2 linked regions of the Struthio camelus genome follow. The protein of the gene in region 2 purifies or fractionates together with the protein of the main gene of each other region. This does not show direct contact. Links are inferred from orthologs where the notes say so. Each region holds a gene or a part of one and is shown on either strand. Other genes may lie near its edges.

Region 1 (7,546 bases), on a different chromosome or scaffold from region 2:
CATGATTCTACAGAACTGATTTTAAAAGATGTAGTTTTCAGGACGTCTGTGTACCTTGCTGGGGGGAAGAGGAGGGTGAAGAGGAGGGAGAAACAGCCTTATTACCCAGGCAGAGGAACAAAGTTAGAGCTTACCAGAGTATAAAATCCACAATATCACTTTTGCGTACCGCACTCAAAACAGAAGGACATCCAAGAGTGAGTATAATCAACTGAAATTGCTATTTCAAGTTTCCACTGTAAAGTTACCCATTAAGTCACAGCGACCCAGTGAGTTCAGTCAACTCTTGGCCAATCTCCGAAGCAACAAATCTCTCAAAGAGTAAAATAATATGTTATTTTTCCATACTTTATTCTTTTGATTAACATTACATATAAAGGGTTTCTCTTCACTGTAATAGCTTCACCCAACCAAAATGAAGAAGCCATACTCCAAGTAACTTTTACTCCAAAGAGCAGCTTGATTAATGATACGGAGCTGATGGGAAGTTATAATTTGATCTACTTCAGCCCCACCGCATTACCACAGTGAGCCAGATGCAATTCCAACAGGCTACTTAGAGTAAGCTTAAGTCCCACCGCACAGACTCATCAGACTTACACGTGTATAGGAACACACAAGACTCAAAATAGAAACATCAAGTTATAGCTCTAAGCAGAGCTGACGACAAGCCTTTTGCTTTGGCAGGATCTGGATTTAAGTTGCTCGTCATGTTAGAGGCTCCTTCTCTGAAATTTTTCTTTGATAGATATGACATCTTAACTATATTATTTCCGATAACCATGATTCAACTATACAGCTATTCAGCCAGTAATCCAACTTGCAGCTTCCTCGCCAGCCTTTTTCTTCTAAAGCACTTTAAAAGCTTTCAGGCCCATGCTTCCATTCCTCCCCCTCTCCCACAGTGTACGTTCTCGAGCTACGTTCTCCTTCAGTAGCGTTTTGATATCGGATTTGTTTGCTTTTTCAATAGTTCAAACTGACTTAAAAGGGAAGAGGCCACTGTTTGAGCAGTTCTCACACAACTTCAAGAACAAACAAACAATTTTATGATGTGCAATGCTATTAAACAAAAATCAAGCAATAAAGTAAGTCTTCAGCATTTAGTTAGAAAAAAAATATGTTGAACTTCAAAGGATAATGGAATTATTGTCAAAGCTTAAAAACCCCAAGCCCCCAAGCTTGTACAAACACAAGGAAACTAACAGAAATCTTTTAGTTGCATGCATGTAGCAGTCTTCCAGGTTGTTCCTGTTACTGCTGAAGTCCTGTCTTTTGCTCCCCAAATTTTCTTTACAAACACTGCTGCCAATATCACCACTGATATCACTGACTTACTTTTTACTCCATTTGGCTTGTTCGCTTTATTTTAATATGTCAAGAATCAACAGCAAGAGTTTCTAATCACTTCTGTGATTACTACACAAATCATAACTCCTTCAAGTCAGTAATATCCTTTCAAACATGTGGCAGGAAAAAAAAGCAGAAGTTTACGGTATTTGCAACATGAGAGAGACCTTTTCACATTTCAGTCAAACAAATACCTGCAAAAACAGTAGCCTATTTGTCAAGCATTGGAGCTATCATCACCAACTTAGCCTGGAAACATAATCTTTGTGGCTAGAGTCATTATGCTCCAACAAAGTGATTTACGGGAATGCAGCCAATGTGAGAAAATACAGCTGTTTGCACAGAACCAGCAGCAGTAAAATTGCAACGGCCTCTTTTCTGAGCCCTCAACAGTTTACAGGCAGACAAGCTTACACTACGACAATGTTCCGCTTGCTTTCTCGCATATTTTTTACAACCTCTGCTGACTCTGACAGAGTAGCAGGATTAAACAACACAAGTTTCTTGCATTACATTCTAAAAAAAAGCAGCTAAAGGGAAAATACTACGTCATTTATTTTTTTTTTTTACCAATTTTTTTTTTTCCACAAGAACTGAAGCCCAAACGCTTTCCCCTCCCCTCACTTCTCCGACAAGGTTTCTCTCCTCGTTCCCCACCTCCAGCCAGGAGAGCTCTACTGACAGGAAGGGCATCACCAGAGTCTGGGCAACCAACACTCACCACGGGGGCAAAAACTCTGCAAAGACGTTGCGGCTAAAAGCAGCCTGCTTGGCTTCGCGCGTTTCCTTACGCCAAAGCGACACTACCCACGGGTGGTTTTAGGGCCGGCCCCCCCCGAGGTGGTCATGAGGAAAGGGATATTGCCGGGGCTGAAGCCGGGGAGCCCCGGCTGCGGCTCTGCCCGGCATCGCAGCGCCGGGGGGATGCGAGCCCCGCTTCCCTGCCCGCCCCCCCCGCCGCCGGCGGGCAGCCGCGCTCCCCTGACGGGGGCCCCTTGCCGGGGGCCATCACCCGCCAACCGCGCCACCTCCCCCCGGCCCAGCCGACGGCGGCGCCGGGGCAAGGCAAGGCCCGGGGCCAGGGCGGTGCTCAAGCCCCCGGCGCCGCGGCACCTACCCCAGATCCTCCAGCGACTCCAGCACGTCGCTCTCCAGCAGCTCGAACTCCATCCTGCGGCGGGGACCGGGGAGGGGGGGGGGGGAAACCTGCGTGAGAGCCGGCACTCAGCGCCCCGCCACCCGCAGGCCCCGCCGCCCCCGCCTCTCCCCATGGCGGGGGAAGAGGGGGGCTCGACCGTTACCCCCTCCCCCACCGAACCCCCCCCCGCCCGCCCGCCCGCCCGCCGGCGCGCGCCTGCTCCCGCCCTGCCCCCCGCGCCGCGTTCCCCCCCCCCCCCCCGCCGCCGCCGCCGCCGCCGCCGCCGCCGCCGCCGCCGCCGCCGCCGCCCGCCGGCCCCCACGTACACTGCCCGCGCGCTGCTACGCCGCCGACTGCCGGGTTGGCATGTCAGGGTGGGGGAGGGAGCAGGTCCCCGGCATGACCCTTCACCCGGCTCCCAGAGGGCTGCCCGAGCGCGCTGCCTGATCGGTCTGGCCTGCTTCTGCCGCACTTCCTGCCTCCCCGCCGCACCAGGCCGCGTTGCCAAACGAGACGAAGACGTCCAGGCGGGCGCCTAAGTGTTTTGAGGGACGGAAGCCGGAGGCGAGCGAAGGATCCCATGTTTCTGTTCAGGCGGCGCTGCGGGCAGTCCCTGAGAAAGGACCCCCCCTCCCTCCCGTAGAACCCACGCTGGAATGTGCTGGTGTGAGCCGTAGAGCCCATAAGGGTAGAAAAGGAGAAGGAGACGGGGCGGGAGAAGGGTCAAATTACATCAGTGACGGAACGCTTCTCCGCCTATGAGGTCCCCCGCGGCAGCATGGGGACTACAAATCCCAGCATACAACGCTCCTCGTGGCCTTCGCGGCCGCCGTAGGGTGGCGCGGCGCCTCCTGTTTTCCTGTGGGGCGCGGGTTTCCTTGCGGCGCCATGTCGTCGGTGGCCGCAGGGTTTTGGCCGCTGCCGTGCGGGGGAGGGGGGTTGCCGTCCCTTTGGAGCTGGGGCCGGTGGCCGAGGTTTAGGGAGGAGGCGGCCCGCAGAGCTAAGAGCCGGTGGGGTGGGCCCCGGTGTGCCAGGGAAGGCTGGGGCCTTCGGCACTGGGGGGGAGGCCCGGACGGTGGGGCAGGGGCTCGTGGTAGAAAGTGCGGCTGTGGCAGGAAAAGATGAAGCTGCTGCTAGTGCGGGTCTGCTTCGTCTCTCGGCAGGTTTGCGGGGGCCAGGGCAGGCTGTGCCTTGGCAGGTGCCGGCTGCGGCCATGTGCCGCTGTCCTAGAAGTAACCTGGTTGTTGAAGATGCTAAAGCAGTGCTGGCTGGAACAGAGTCTGCCTGACTTTATGCTAATAGTACGACTCCTTAAGGTTGTGAGCTGGCAGCTTTCTTAAGTCTTCCTTTGCCTGGGGGGAAAGGAAGTTGCTGAACACTGTGCAGTTCCCCCAGCTGCTTAGTTGCCAGCATGCTCTGAAGGGAAAGCCATGCAAATGGATAAAGATGCAGCGTTTGTAATAGAAAGCTCAGATGTGGGCTAGGGCATAATTTTGCCTGGTCTTTCTGGTTCTTCTTGTCAGTATTACCATATTGCCTGGGACACAGCGGTTCCACAGAAAGCACGTCAGCGCTAAAAGGGAAGCGTGCGTGGGAGAGCACGTTGTGTTGTAAAGGCCAGGCCGTGTCAGTGAAAGCCAAGAGTGCCGACGCTGAAAATAACTCCAGCCCTTCAACAGCAGTGAGCTGATGTTCCAGCAGAGGATTTTTGGCTGCCTGCACTTCATGAAATCACCCTTGGCAAGCAAAAAGAAGAACTGTAGTCAAACAAGGAAGTAGCTTGTAGCCTCAAGATAGGTGAGAAGAAGGAACACGGTGCCTCAAAGGACTAGAAAGAAGTCATGCTTCACAAATAGGTGGTTCAGTTGTTGGCTTTGCCATTAAAAATAGGTCAGACTACTAGTTCAGGGGAAAATTACCTCCTAAAGACTAAGAACTGACATGTGAAAGGAATAATGCCGGCATTCCTGTTTCTTTGCCTGTTTACTTCTAGTTGTGTCATGGTTGGTAAAGAGTAACCATAGGCAATTTCAGTTTGAAAAATCAGATCATCTATTATGCTCATGGCAAGCTGTCTTATTACTGCTGGGCAAAACATGTCTGTAAGAATTTCCTGCTTTTACTTTAGTCCATTCATCCTGGATTTACTCAGAATATCTCAGATATTCAGTCTTGGAGCCCTGCCTGGATGAGCAGACCAAGCTGGGGTTTTTTTCCGTCTAAAGTTCAACACTGCAGTTGAAGCCTTGTGACACTTGTTAATAAAATGGTTGTGTTCAGCTTGCTTACACAATTGGATGTGCACAAAGCATAGTAGTTTTTCACGAGTGCTAATTACTCTTCCATTGCAATTGATGGCTTTCCACAGCTGCAGGCCAACTGATCCAAAGGGAATTTTTTTTTTTTTGCTGTCCTGTGATAACAGTGTACAGCAATCATTGTTTTGAGATGGAGAAAGCCCTTACGGTGTTCGAGATGGAGAAAGCCCTTAACGCTGTTAGCTGCTTTGGGCACTGCACAAATGTTGTTGCATCTGGAACTGGGGTGAGGTTGGGAAAGGTCTCTGCGGAGCCACATCTCTGTGCACCTCCCTTGTCCTGGAGTCTGCATGCAACTGGTAGGTGAGGGTGCTGAAACCAGGTGAGCCTCCTGAGCTCATCTCCTCCATCGGAAGTAGAGCTTTACTAGGAAGCTGGTAAAGCAATGTTAATTTTGTGGCCCAAATAACTAGAAGAGACTTTGCCCAAAACGTTGGTCATTCACAAGCCAAATATTCTTTAAGCGTGGGCTGGCTGCTGTTTGGCTAGCAATTTTGGCACAAATCCCAGCAGCTCATCTGCTGAGGACACTGTGGCTATGAGATCACGTGGACTCATGGGATGACTGAACAAGTATGTGGAAAAGAGATCTATTGATGGTTACTAAACTGAAAAATTACGTCAGTATCAGGAAATCCCAAGAGTTGAAAATAGCTGGGAGAATATATGGGCAGGGAAAAAGAGGGGAGTAATATATGTGTTTTTCCTGTTCTTACTCTTCTCAAAGCGTCTGCTTAGGGCCAGTGTTGGAAGTGCAATACTGGGCTAGGTGATACCCTGATTTCAGTTGGTGTGTCTGGTTTGTATATGCATCACTGTCCTATGAACTAACTAGCTACGTAGATACGGCTCATTTTGAGGGCACTACAAACAGTGTTTTTACTGGTTGAATACATTGTGGTCTTCTTAGTTTAACTGTACAATTGAGTGAGTTCCTCTGCCCCTATTTTTATGTTTTCCAAAGATGTGACTTTCCTGTCTTAACAGCAAGGCTACCTGTGAGGTGACAACTCCAGCATAATGTGTTTTTGCCATACTCCTTACAGAAGACAGAATTGGAAAGCATGTGTTTTGCAAATGTGCTGCAAGAACTTTATTTAACAAAACCGCTTTATGTCAGTGTACCTGCAAATTCACTTATCTCTGAGGAGTTTGCTCTGACTTAGTTCACCGTGGTCTTTTGGGCATAAGAAGAAACTAGTTTTGTACTAACTGCTTCACCTTCCATCTAATATTCCCCAGCAGCAAGTCCTGAACTCAAGAGAACGCTTCCGCTGACTTTGGCAGGGTCGTTTAGATCTATATTAGGAACAAACAGGGGGTAAGGGCCTGTTTATTTGTACTGCAATTCCAGGTCCAAAAAAAAAAAAAAAAAGTGCAAACTAATTCCGAACCTTTTCAGGCTGGCCCCTATTAAATGGGTGCTTAGAGAATTCTCCAGAATGTCAAACTTGCATGAAAAAAAATGCCTGAATAAAACAAGTGCTACGTAAAGAAAACTAGACTTCTGTACATGATCTGACAGCAAGACTTTTAGCTTGACTAAAAGCTGAGTAGACTGATTTGTTGACTTATCTCAACATCAGTGTTTCAGCCACAAGTATTTATGTCCCATGTCTCAGCTAAGGATAGCCGGCCAAGATCACTCATACAGCAATATCAATGTGCATGGATGGTGTTTCTCAGAAACAAATTAATCTTGCCCCAAACAGTTTGCTATTAAGCAATGAGATCCGTAGCTCTGCAAAACAGTTACTTCTGAGAGTAGCGTGGACTCAGGTTGTCAGCTCGCTCAAGAGCTGTAAGTGGGGTCGTTGATTTTTATGGGCTATCCAAAGGCTTCAGAAGACTTCTGCCTTATTCCAAAGAATTTTCAGGCTGCAGAACTGAGCTCAACTTGCCTTGCATTTTTCCCTTCCTGACTGAGGTTTGTTAGAGCTCCGCGCCTTCTCACCTTCACTCCGAGAGGTGTAGCTCTGGGAAGTCCGTGTAATCCTTAGGTGATTTAACTGCAGCCTGGAGCCATGTGTGGCCAGCTAGGCTGTGCCAGTGTGGGAAGAGTTACGGGGTAACAATTTTTATTTCCCCTATGGGAAGAACCAAACCAGCAGAGGCTGCTGCAGTCACATCCACTGTGACTGGACCCCTGTAAACTCCTCCTTGGCCCCCTCTTCCCCTTAGTCCTGGAACGATGTGGCATGCATACAGTGGCTCTTGGTCAGCTGCTCTCAGGATGTGAGGTGCAGGTCAAGGAAGCTGGCAGTCCCTGCATAGCCTGAGGCTGCACAGCAGCCAGGAACACTTAATCTGGAGAAGTGTGAAACGCTCCACTGATCTGATGCCAATTGTCATTTAACAGACACACAACTGGTTTCCTGTGGATTTGCCTGCTGTGACTGATTGGTTTTGGTGTCTAGGATGATGTGAGCTCTGACTGAAGATACAGGACTTTGTCCTGTGAGGATTCCCGAGCATCTAATAAAGTGTGAGCTGATGCAACCTCTTCTTCAGCTTTGCACCAAAAGGATTGGCCTTCAATGTGTAGGAGGCTTGTTAAACTCGCCTGGAATGGGTCATCCAGTTCAAAGACACGCACCTTGATAATTTAAGCCTCGCTTCCTTAGGAAACCTGGCTGAAGATGATGACATTAAGGTGGGCATTATTTCAATACAGCAAGATTATTTCACAGTATTAAAAAGTCCATTCATCTTTTCACAGTCATGTCTGTTTGCCCTGTGG
Region 2 (7,403 bases):
ACCTAAGGCTAACAACGGAACCCATCTGAAGGAAAGAATTCAACATACCCGCTTTTCTCTCTTTTTCAGTCTAACAGCTTTCACCACAGAGGAATCCCAGTCCTGTGGGAAACACACCACTGGTTAGCTCAGTGTAAATACCATATAGCCTCCGGCCAGACTTTCATTACCTTTTAGCCAACAGCACACTGAAGAAATGCAGATCAGCTCTACCAATTTAATACCATAGTATTCTAAACAATGCTTCTCTGGAGATTACCCCACACCCTTAAGGTTTTATAGTTGAAGAGAGCTTCAGTACTTGGCATTACATTACCAGTGACTCATCAGTCTTGTCAAAGCTGATATCTGACAGAATTGAGCCAGATTCATCAATTGTAGACAGCCTAAAAAGAAAAAAGTTAGAAGAAACATGTGTCAGTTAGGCTTTCAGTGAGCCACAGTTCCAGAACAATCTTACTGACTCATAAGAGCTTTATTTCCAAGTGGAATACAGAGTGAAACTCTGCTCATATGAATGCAGTGTTAGTAGGATCACAGATGTACACAAAGCTGAATTGACATTACTTATGTTGCTTAGACAAAACGCTCTTTTGCCTACCTTTTGTTACCTGAACCCCCTACAGAAACCTGTGGCCTGTTAAGAAAGGCAAGGGCAGATTTCTGTTCTTCACTTAGCTGAATACTCCCAGAGGCATCACACATGAGCAGCTCTCGAATCAGTTGTATTTGCCGCTCCTGTAAAGGTAGGTAGCATCAGAAGCTGCCACAGCATAGACTACATTTAATTACCGTATGAACCAATCTCGAGTATTTGAGATACTGCACAGATCGTCTTTCTCAGAACTTGTCTCAGGAGAACGTTAACGGCCACAAAGCGACAGCAGCCCATGCTCTGCTAGGTAACAGCAGCTCTCCTGTAAACAGCAGCTGATAGGCTTTGGCCTATAAAAAGGCTATTCAAAGCAGAAGGCTACTACAAGGAGCCAAGCCCCCTCCCCCCCCTTTTTTTTTTTTTTTAAAAAAAAACAATTATCTTGGCTGCCAGTCCTTATTTTCTATAGATCAATGCAGATTAACCACTATCTCTCTGCAGTCTAATGAGCTAACTGGGTAATGAAGAATTACTCACCAACTTCTCACAGTCTGTTTCAGCTTTTTGCCTTCGTTTGATCTCCACGTCCACTTGATTGCGAGCGTGTTTCAGCTTCACATCCAGAGCACTACGTTCAGTTTCCGTTTTCATTAGAAGATCCTTGTACTTGGCAAGCTCATGCTCTGTTTTCTGCCACTTTCTCCGAAACTCTTCAAAGTTCTTTGCTAACTGAATAAATTCTGGGTAGAAAACATTTCAATCTTTAGTTGCTAAAGCGAGCAGAGGAAATGCAGCAGGCCTCTATTTGCTGACAGTAGGCATCTATCAATGTAACCCACCCTTGACAGAAGAGGCAGACAAGCTGGCCTTTCAGCAAAGCCAACTGCACTCTAGATGTTCACTAAGATTTCAGACCAAGTCCTTCACATTCGCATCAACCAGAAGAGCTAGAACATACAAGACTCTGCATGGATGAAGTCAGCTTGCTACAGAAGCAGAGCACAGCCCTGCCCAGTTCAGCCTGTGACTTCATCCTTCTAGACAATGAAAAAACAAACCAATCAACCAACCCCCACACAAGTCTGGCTACCCACATCAGTCTCATCACCCACAGCTCCATCAGATTGTCCAGTAACAGTCACTGATGTTTGTTTGCACGTTTATAGTCCCACAGCAAACACAGAGCAGCCCACTGGAACTACCCACAGAGACAGGACTTACGATATTCGTTTCCCTCACTTAAAACTTCGGCCTGGCGCATAAGCTGATCAAATAGATTCCGCAAATTCAGCATTGCTGTCTCCATCTTCCTGCCAAGAAAATGGACCTAAATAACCAGCCCAATCCTCTCCTTCCACCTTCAAGCAGAGGTTAGCAGCCCAAAGAAGACAAACAAAGACAGCATTTTAATCAAGACATATGCATCTCAACTAATTCCTAGAGCATTAAGAGCAGCCTCATGCCTCCATAGTTCAGGGATAAAAAAAACAGCAATATGAAGAGGCAAGTAATTGCTTCAAGTAATCTGCAGTATACTACAGAGGCTCAAGCCCCCAAGACAAGATGACTTTCTTTCTGGAAGGCTGCAGAACATAACTCGCACCCAGGCTATGAGTAACTTGGCACTATATAGGCCACTAAGATCTGTAAGGTTTCAGCATTTCATAAGATAAAAATAGGAGCAGCATTCTGAAGAGTTTGAATACAGTTTTAAATTTAGCTGCATTTTAAATTACAGCTCCCACAGCAAACAGCTTTTGAAATTCAGGGCAGTCAGCATGTTTTCCTCAAACAGCAGCAACAATAGCAGAAGAGAAGAAACGAAGAGAAAAAGTCTCCAGCTCAGCAACACAGCTATGACTTCTCTATCCAGCAGGGTCGTCAGCGAGCAAACCCGGGTTTATTTTATTGCGTGTGTTGCATTAAAGGCAGCAGGGTCGCTAGCCCGGCGCTGCCCAGCCCGACGGGGGCGGGTGAGGGAAGGAGGCCAGCACGAAGGGTGCCCACAGCCGCCTCCCCCTCTCCCCCGGGGCCCGGCCCGGCCCTCGGCGCCACAACCGCCCCCTCAGGGGAAAATCTCTGAGGAAACCGGCGCCGGGACGGCCCGGGCCGCCGGCCCGCGCCGAGGCCCGGAGGCAGCTCCCCCCACCCCCGGCTCCTCCCGGTCAAGCGAGGGCCTCGCTGGCAGGGCGAGACCCGGTACCGAGGGCCCCGGAGGCCCGGTACCGAGCAGCGGCCCCGCTTTACCTCAGCCGCCCGCTCACCTGAGGCGCCGGCCCGGCGCGAGCTCCCGCCGGCTGCAACCGCCCGGCCCAACCGCCCCGCACTTCGGTTTGAATCCCAGCGGCCAGCCAATGACAGGCCGCTCTCCCGCCCTCCCGGCCGCTCATTGGCTTCGCTCACCGCCAGCCTGAAGCCGAGCCGGCGCCATGTCTGCTGAGGGCGTGGCTTCTCTGCTCCACTCCCTCGTGCGAGGGCGGACGGGACCCCAGAGGCCGCGTGATGAAGCCGGCCCGGCGCCATCTTTACTGCTGGTTCCTGGTCCCAGCCTGCGTTGCTTAGCAACGGAGCAGGCGGCGGATGCTGACAGGCCTCAGATCGCCCCAAAATCGTGTCCGTCCCCCGCCTCGTCCGTGCCGCCACCCTCCGGGCTTGTCACCGAGGCCCGAGCCCAGGAACAGCGGTCAACCACTCCCGTAGATGCGGGGGGTGATGGGCCCCTTGCAGCCCTCCGAGGCTCCCCAGGCGCCTCGAAGATATTTGATGAAACGTTGTCCAAAATCGCCTTCGCTTCCGAGGAAACGCCGATGGCTGCGGCTTTGGAGGCCTCCAGGCACCGACCACAGCAAGACCGATACGCGAATTTCCACCCCCGAGGAGGAGGAGGGAAATCCGCGGACCCGGCTTCCCGGCCCGAGGCCGGTGGGAGGAAAAAAAAAAAACCCCAAAACCTCCATTTTCCACACATTCCCATTCACCAAAACCTAAAACCTCCCAGCAACCTCTTAACACACGAACGAGGCCGTTTATTAAGTGCTCCCGTTTCGGGAAAATGATGCCTCCACCGACATGTTTGCTCCGGTTAAAAACCGTTAATAGGATTTATGCTAATCTGCCGATGCCGGCCATGGCCGAGCATCCCTCCCCGCGCCGGGATCTCGCCGACGCCGAGACGTTTTTGCCGTTTCCTTCGGCAGGTCTCGGCCGCGGATTAAGCCGCCGGGAGTCCGGCTCACCCCCCCCCCCCAATCTTTTTTCCCATGCAAACGGCAAAAATTAATCTTCCGTCTTCCTCTGATATTTGGGCTGAAATACAAGCTGGGAGGGGAGATAAGCTGGGGGGGGGTAACGGCGGTGCTGCCGGCCGCGGGCCGCCCCAAACCGCCCCAGGCGCCCCGCGTCACCCCCCAACCCTTAGGTTTCTCCTAAGGTTCCCGCGGTTTCCCGTCACCGCGGAGGGAAGGGACGGTCCCCTCCTTCCCCGCAGGCGAGCAGACACGACCTCGGTCGCCGCCACCTGCTTAATTATTTTTTGCTTTGCAAAGGGGAAAACGTCGGCCGTGCGTTTAACAACGGCTGCTTGGGAGTAATTGGGGTGATTATTGCATGGCCCAGGGGAAAAACCGCAGCTGGTTATCTCCAGGGAGTAGCGTTAGGATTCGGCAGATAATCAGAGGGTTATTTGTAGCACTTTAGATGTCACTTCTTAACGGATTTAGGAGCGATCGCGCTCAAACCACGCTGTCGGGGCTGCTCCCAAACCGGGGTGCCCAGGGACCTGCAAGCGAAAGAGCTGCCCAGGCCGGTGCTGCTGCTGCAGGGCGACGGGCGGACGTCTCAGCGAGCTCGGGGAAGTCCCCTTAAAGCTCAAACCCTTCCCCATCTGCCTGCATCAAGCCTTTTTCTTTTCTGTTTTCTTTTTTTTTTTTTTAATTTAAATTCGACCTTCTTGCAAGAGAAACGATGCTCAGGCCGGCAGCTCCCCGTCGGCGTCGGCACAGGGTCATCAGCGAGCAACCCGGGGTTTGTTTCACCGCGTCTGTTGTATCCAGGGCAGCAGCTTTCGGAGCGCCGAAGCCGCTCGCAGGGTCTCCGAGCCGGCGGAAAAGTGAGACGGGCTCCTGCAAACCCCGAGCGACGCCGCGTGCGCCGGCGCTAACCCTTCTCCCGGCTGCCTCCATCCAGCCTGGCCTCCGCCGCCAGGGCTGGAAAGAGGCTTTTTAGCAAGGCCAGACGCAGCCACGGCCCTCGGTGCTCCCTCTTGGGCAGGTTTGCAGCACGGCAGCGGAAGCGATTCGAGGCCCGGGAACGACGGCGCCTTTGCTGATGCTCCCAGCCCGGGCTGCCAGCGGGGAGGATGCTCGCTCGGAGGTTTTGCAGTGACCCACGCCGGGCGGCCAGCGGGGAGGATGCTCGCTCGGAGGTTTTGCAGTGACCCACGCCGGGCGGCCAGCGGGGAGGATGCTCGCTCGGAGGTTTTGCAGTGACCCACGCCGGGCAGCCAGCGGGGAGGATGCTCGCTCGGAGGTTTTGCAGTGACCCACGCCCGGGCTGCCAGCGGGGAGGATGCTCGCTCGGAGGTTTTGCAGTGACCCACGCCGGGCAGCCAGCGGGGAGGATGCTCGCTCGGAGGTTTTGCGCTGCTCGCGCCAGGGGTTGTTTAACACATCGGACGCAGGTCGAGAGAGCAGGCGCGGAGGAAGGAGGTCTGGTGGGACCGGACCTTTATCTCCAGCCCATTGGCAGCCAAATCTCTGTGTGGTACGTATGAAGGGTGAGCGGGCAGGAGACCTGGCAGGCGAGGCAGGAACGGGGAATTAAAGCCACCGCCAGCCTTATCTCGCAGACAGGCGGGCAAGCGGAGGGGGGCTCGGAGCTGCGTGCTCCGAGCCACAAGCCCCTCGGAAGCCCTTTGGGGATTTAACGAGCCCAAACTTTATGAGCGGATGGCGAGCAGAGAGGAAGCACCGAGGAGGACGAACGGGCACGTCCGCGTCCTCCGGCCGCCGCGCCGGAGCCGCCCCGGGGCACCCGGCAGGGTCCAGCATCCCTGGTCAAAACCCACCTTTCAACGGGGGCGTTTGGGAGCCGCTACTTCGCGTCTCCCCCTTTTTCCCAGTGGGAAAGCGAAGACGTTCTGCCCTCAGGTACGTTTATATTCTCGCAGAGCCACCACTGTCACTGCTTGGCAGTTCTCAGCTACCCCGCGGACGTGCCTCCCCCCCGGAGCGGAGGGTCGGTGCCTCTCGGCGGTCCCCCGGGCATCCCCGGCTCCGGCGTAACGTGCCGGCGATTGACTCCCGGCTTGGCTCGGCTTTTGCTGAGGCTGCCCGCTGCCGACGGGCTCCGTCTGCGGGGAGGCAGCGAACGCCCCGTCTCACGGCGGCAGGCGAAAGCCGCCCGGCGCCGCCGCAGCCCCACGCCGAGGCTCGGCCAGTCCCGGCTGCCTAAAGGCGCTTTGTGAAGGATCGGTGAAAAACAGGAATCACGCGAATTACCGCTGCGGGAAGCGCACCGGCGTCGCCGAATCGTTCTGTCGGCTTTTGCGTTGCACCTTCTGCTCCGTACGCTGGCTGAATTCCTCTCGCAGGTAAAGAGGAGCCCGGAAAGCCGAGCCGGACGCCGGAGGCTTGCGCATCCTGCGCGGCTCCTGGGAAATGAGTTTGTTGGGTCTCTGCCCCAGGCTTTGCAGGTCTGAGCAGCTCCAGAGCCGGGGAACGCGTCGGACCAGCGCCGGGTCGCATCCGTCCCGCCTAACCGGCCTTTTCCTGGGCACCGGATGAGCCGGGAGCCAGAGGGGCCAGCGGGGATTTTGCTTCCTGGCCCTCGGGACGGGCCGCCCGGTGCCGAAACCCCTTCCCCAGCGCCGGCCGTGCCGGCCGCTCCGCGCGGTGCCCGCTCCTCCAGCGCTTCAGCCTCTGTTATCCTCAGCGCGGCTCTGGAGGTTTAAATAGAAAGATATCAAAATAAAAGATAATTGTTGAGAAAGATGAATAGGGGGGAGGGAAAAAATAAAAAATGAAAAAAAAAACCCCGATCAGCACGGAGGAACTCTTGTCTAATTTCTCACCCACGCAGAGCGCAGCGATATTAGTGCCTTCAACTCCGGTGCGTAACAGCTTTCACGGCTTTATTACCAGCTCCCCGAACAGCTTGTCCTTTTAATAAGCCAAGGCCTCCAGAGAGCACATCTGCCCACGGGCGATCCCGTCAGGACACGGCTAACCCGGGCAGAGACAGCGCGGGCCGGCGGCCCTCGGCCCGGGCAGGAAGGGGTTAAAAAGCCCCCCCCCCAAAATCCGGCCCCGCGGCGCGGGGATGCTGGCGCTGGATTTCCCGCGGAAACGGAGCCGGCTCCCTCCTCGCCCCCCCCCCCCCAAGGCTTTTCCCACGGCGCCATCGCACCCCTCGGCGGCCTTCGGCCTCGCGGCGCCCCGGCTCTCGGCAGCCGCCGGCTTTGGCTGCGGCCGCCTTTAATTATCCAAACTGCTGCCCCTCGCAAAATTAAATGCCACCGAGGATGACTCAGTGTTTAATGGACTGGCGGCTCCGGGCGCCGCGAGAGCCAAGCGGGGCCGAGTGCCGTAAATCCCTGCTGGGGGGGGTGACCCGGCACGCCGGCAGGGGCCAACGGCCGCTTTTAGGGAGGTTTTTGTGTTTTTTTTGTTTTTCTTTTTTGCATGGGCTCGGGGCGAGCCGGGATGACGCCGGCGGCGGCTCACCCAGCCTGGGGCGCGATGGAGAGCGTGGCTGTCGCCCGCGGGGGCTTTTCCCCTCCGGTGCAGCATCCTCACCCGGGGCAGCGGGG

The links. Proteins that work in one complex are often made in the same cells at the same time.
Region 1: the proteins of RACGAP1 (region 2) and FAM98A purify together in Homo sapiens (co-immunoprecipitation; 3 studies listed by BioGRID and IntAct, with this or other methods). This does not show direct contact. The link is inferred for Struthio camelus from reciprocal best matches to the Homo sapiens genes RACGAP1 and FAM98A.

What each region holds. Positions count from the first base shown.
Region 1 is NC_090944.1:103,512,712-103,520,257, forward strand, and holds the start of FAM98A (protein FAM98A), read right to left. Parts: upstream 3,004-7,546; 5' UTR 2,815-3,003; intron 2,557-2,814; 5' UTR 2,521-2,556; coding exon 2,468-2,520; intron 1-2,467. UniProt on the Homo sapiens protein: Positively stimulates PRMT1-induced protein arginine methylation. Involved in skeletal homeostasis. Positively regulates lysosome peripheral distribution and ruffled border formation in osteoclasts.
Region 2 is NC_090969.1:1,510,710-1,518,112, reverse strand, and holds the start of RACGAP1 (rac GTPase-activating protein 1), read right to left. Parts: upstream 3,001-7,403; 5' UTR 2,986-3,000; coding exon 2,860-2,985; exon of another isoform or gene 2,843-2,859; intron 1,954-2,842; exon of another isoform or gene 1,902-1,953; coding exon 1,817-1,901; intron 1,543-1,816; exon of another isoform or gene 1,435-1,542; intron 1,336-1,434; coding exon 1,133-1,335; intron 739-1,132; coding exon 602-738; intron 387-601; coding exon 317-386; intron 103-316; coding exon 49-102; intron 1-48.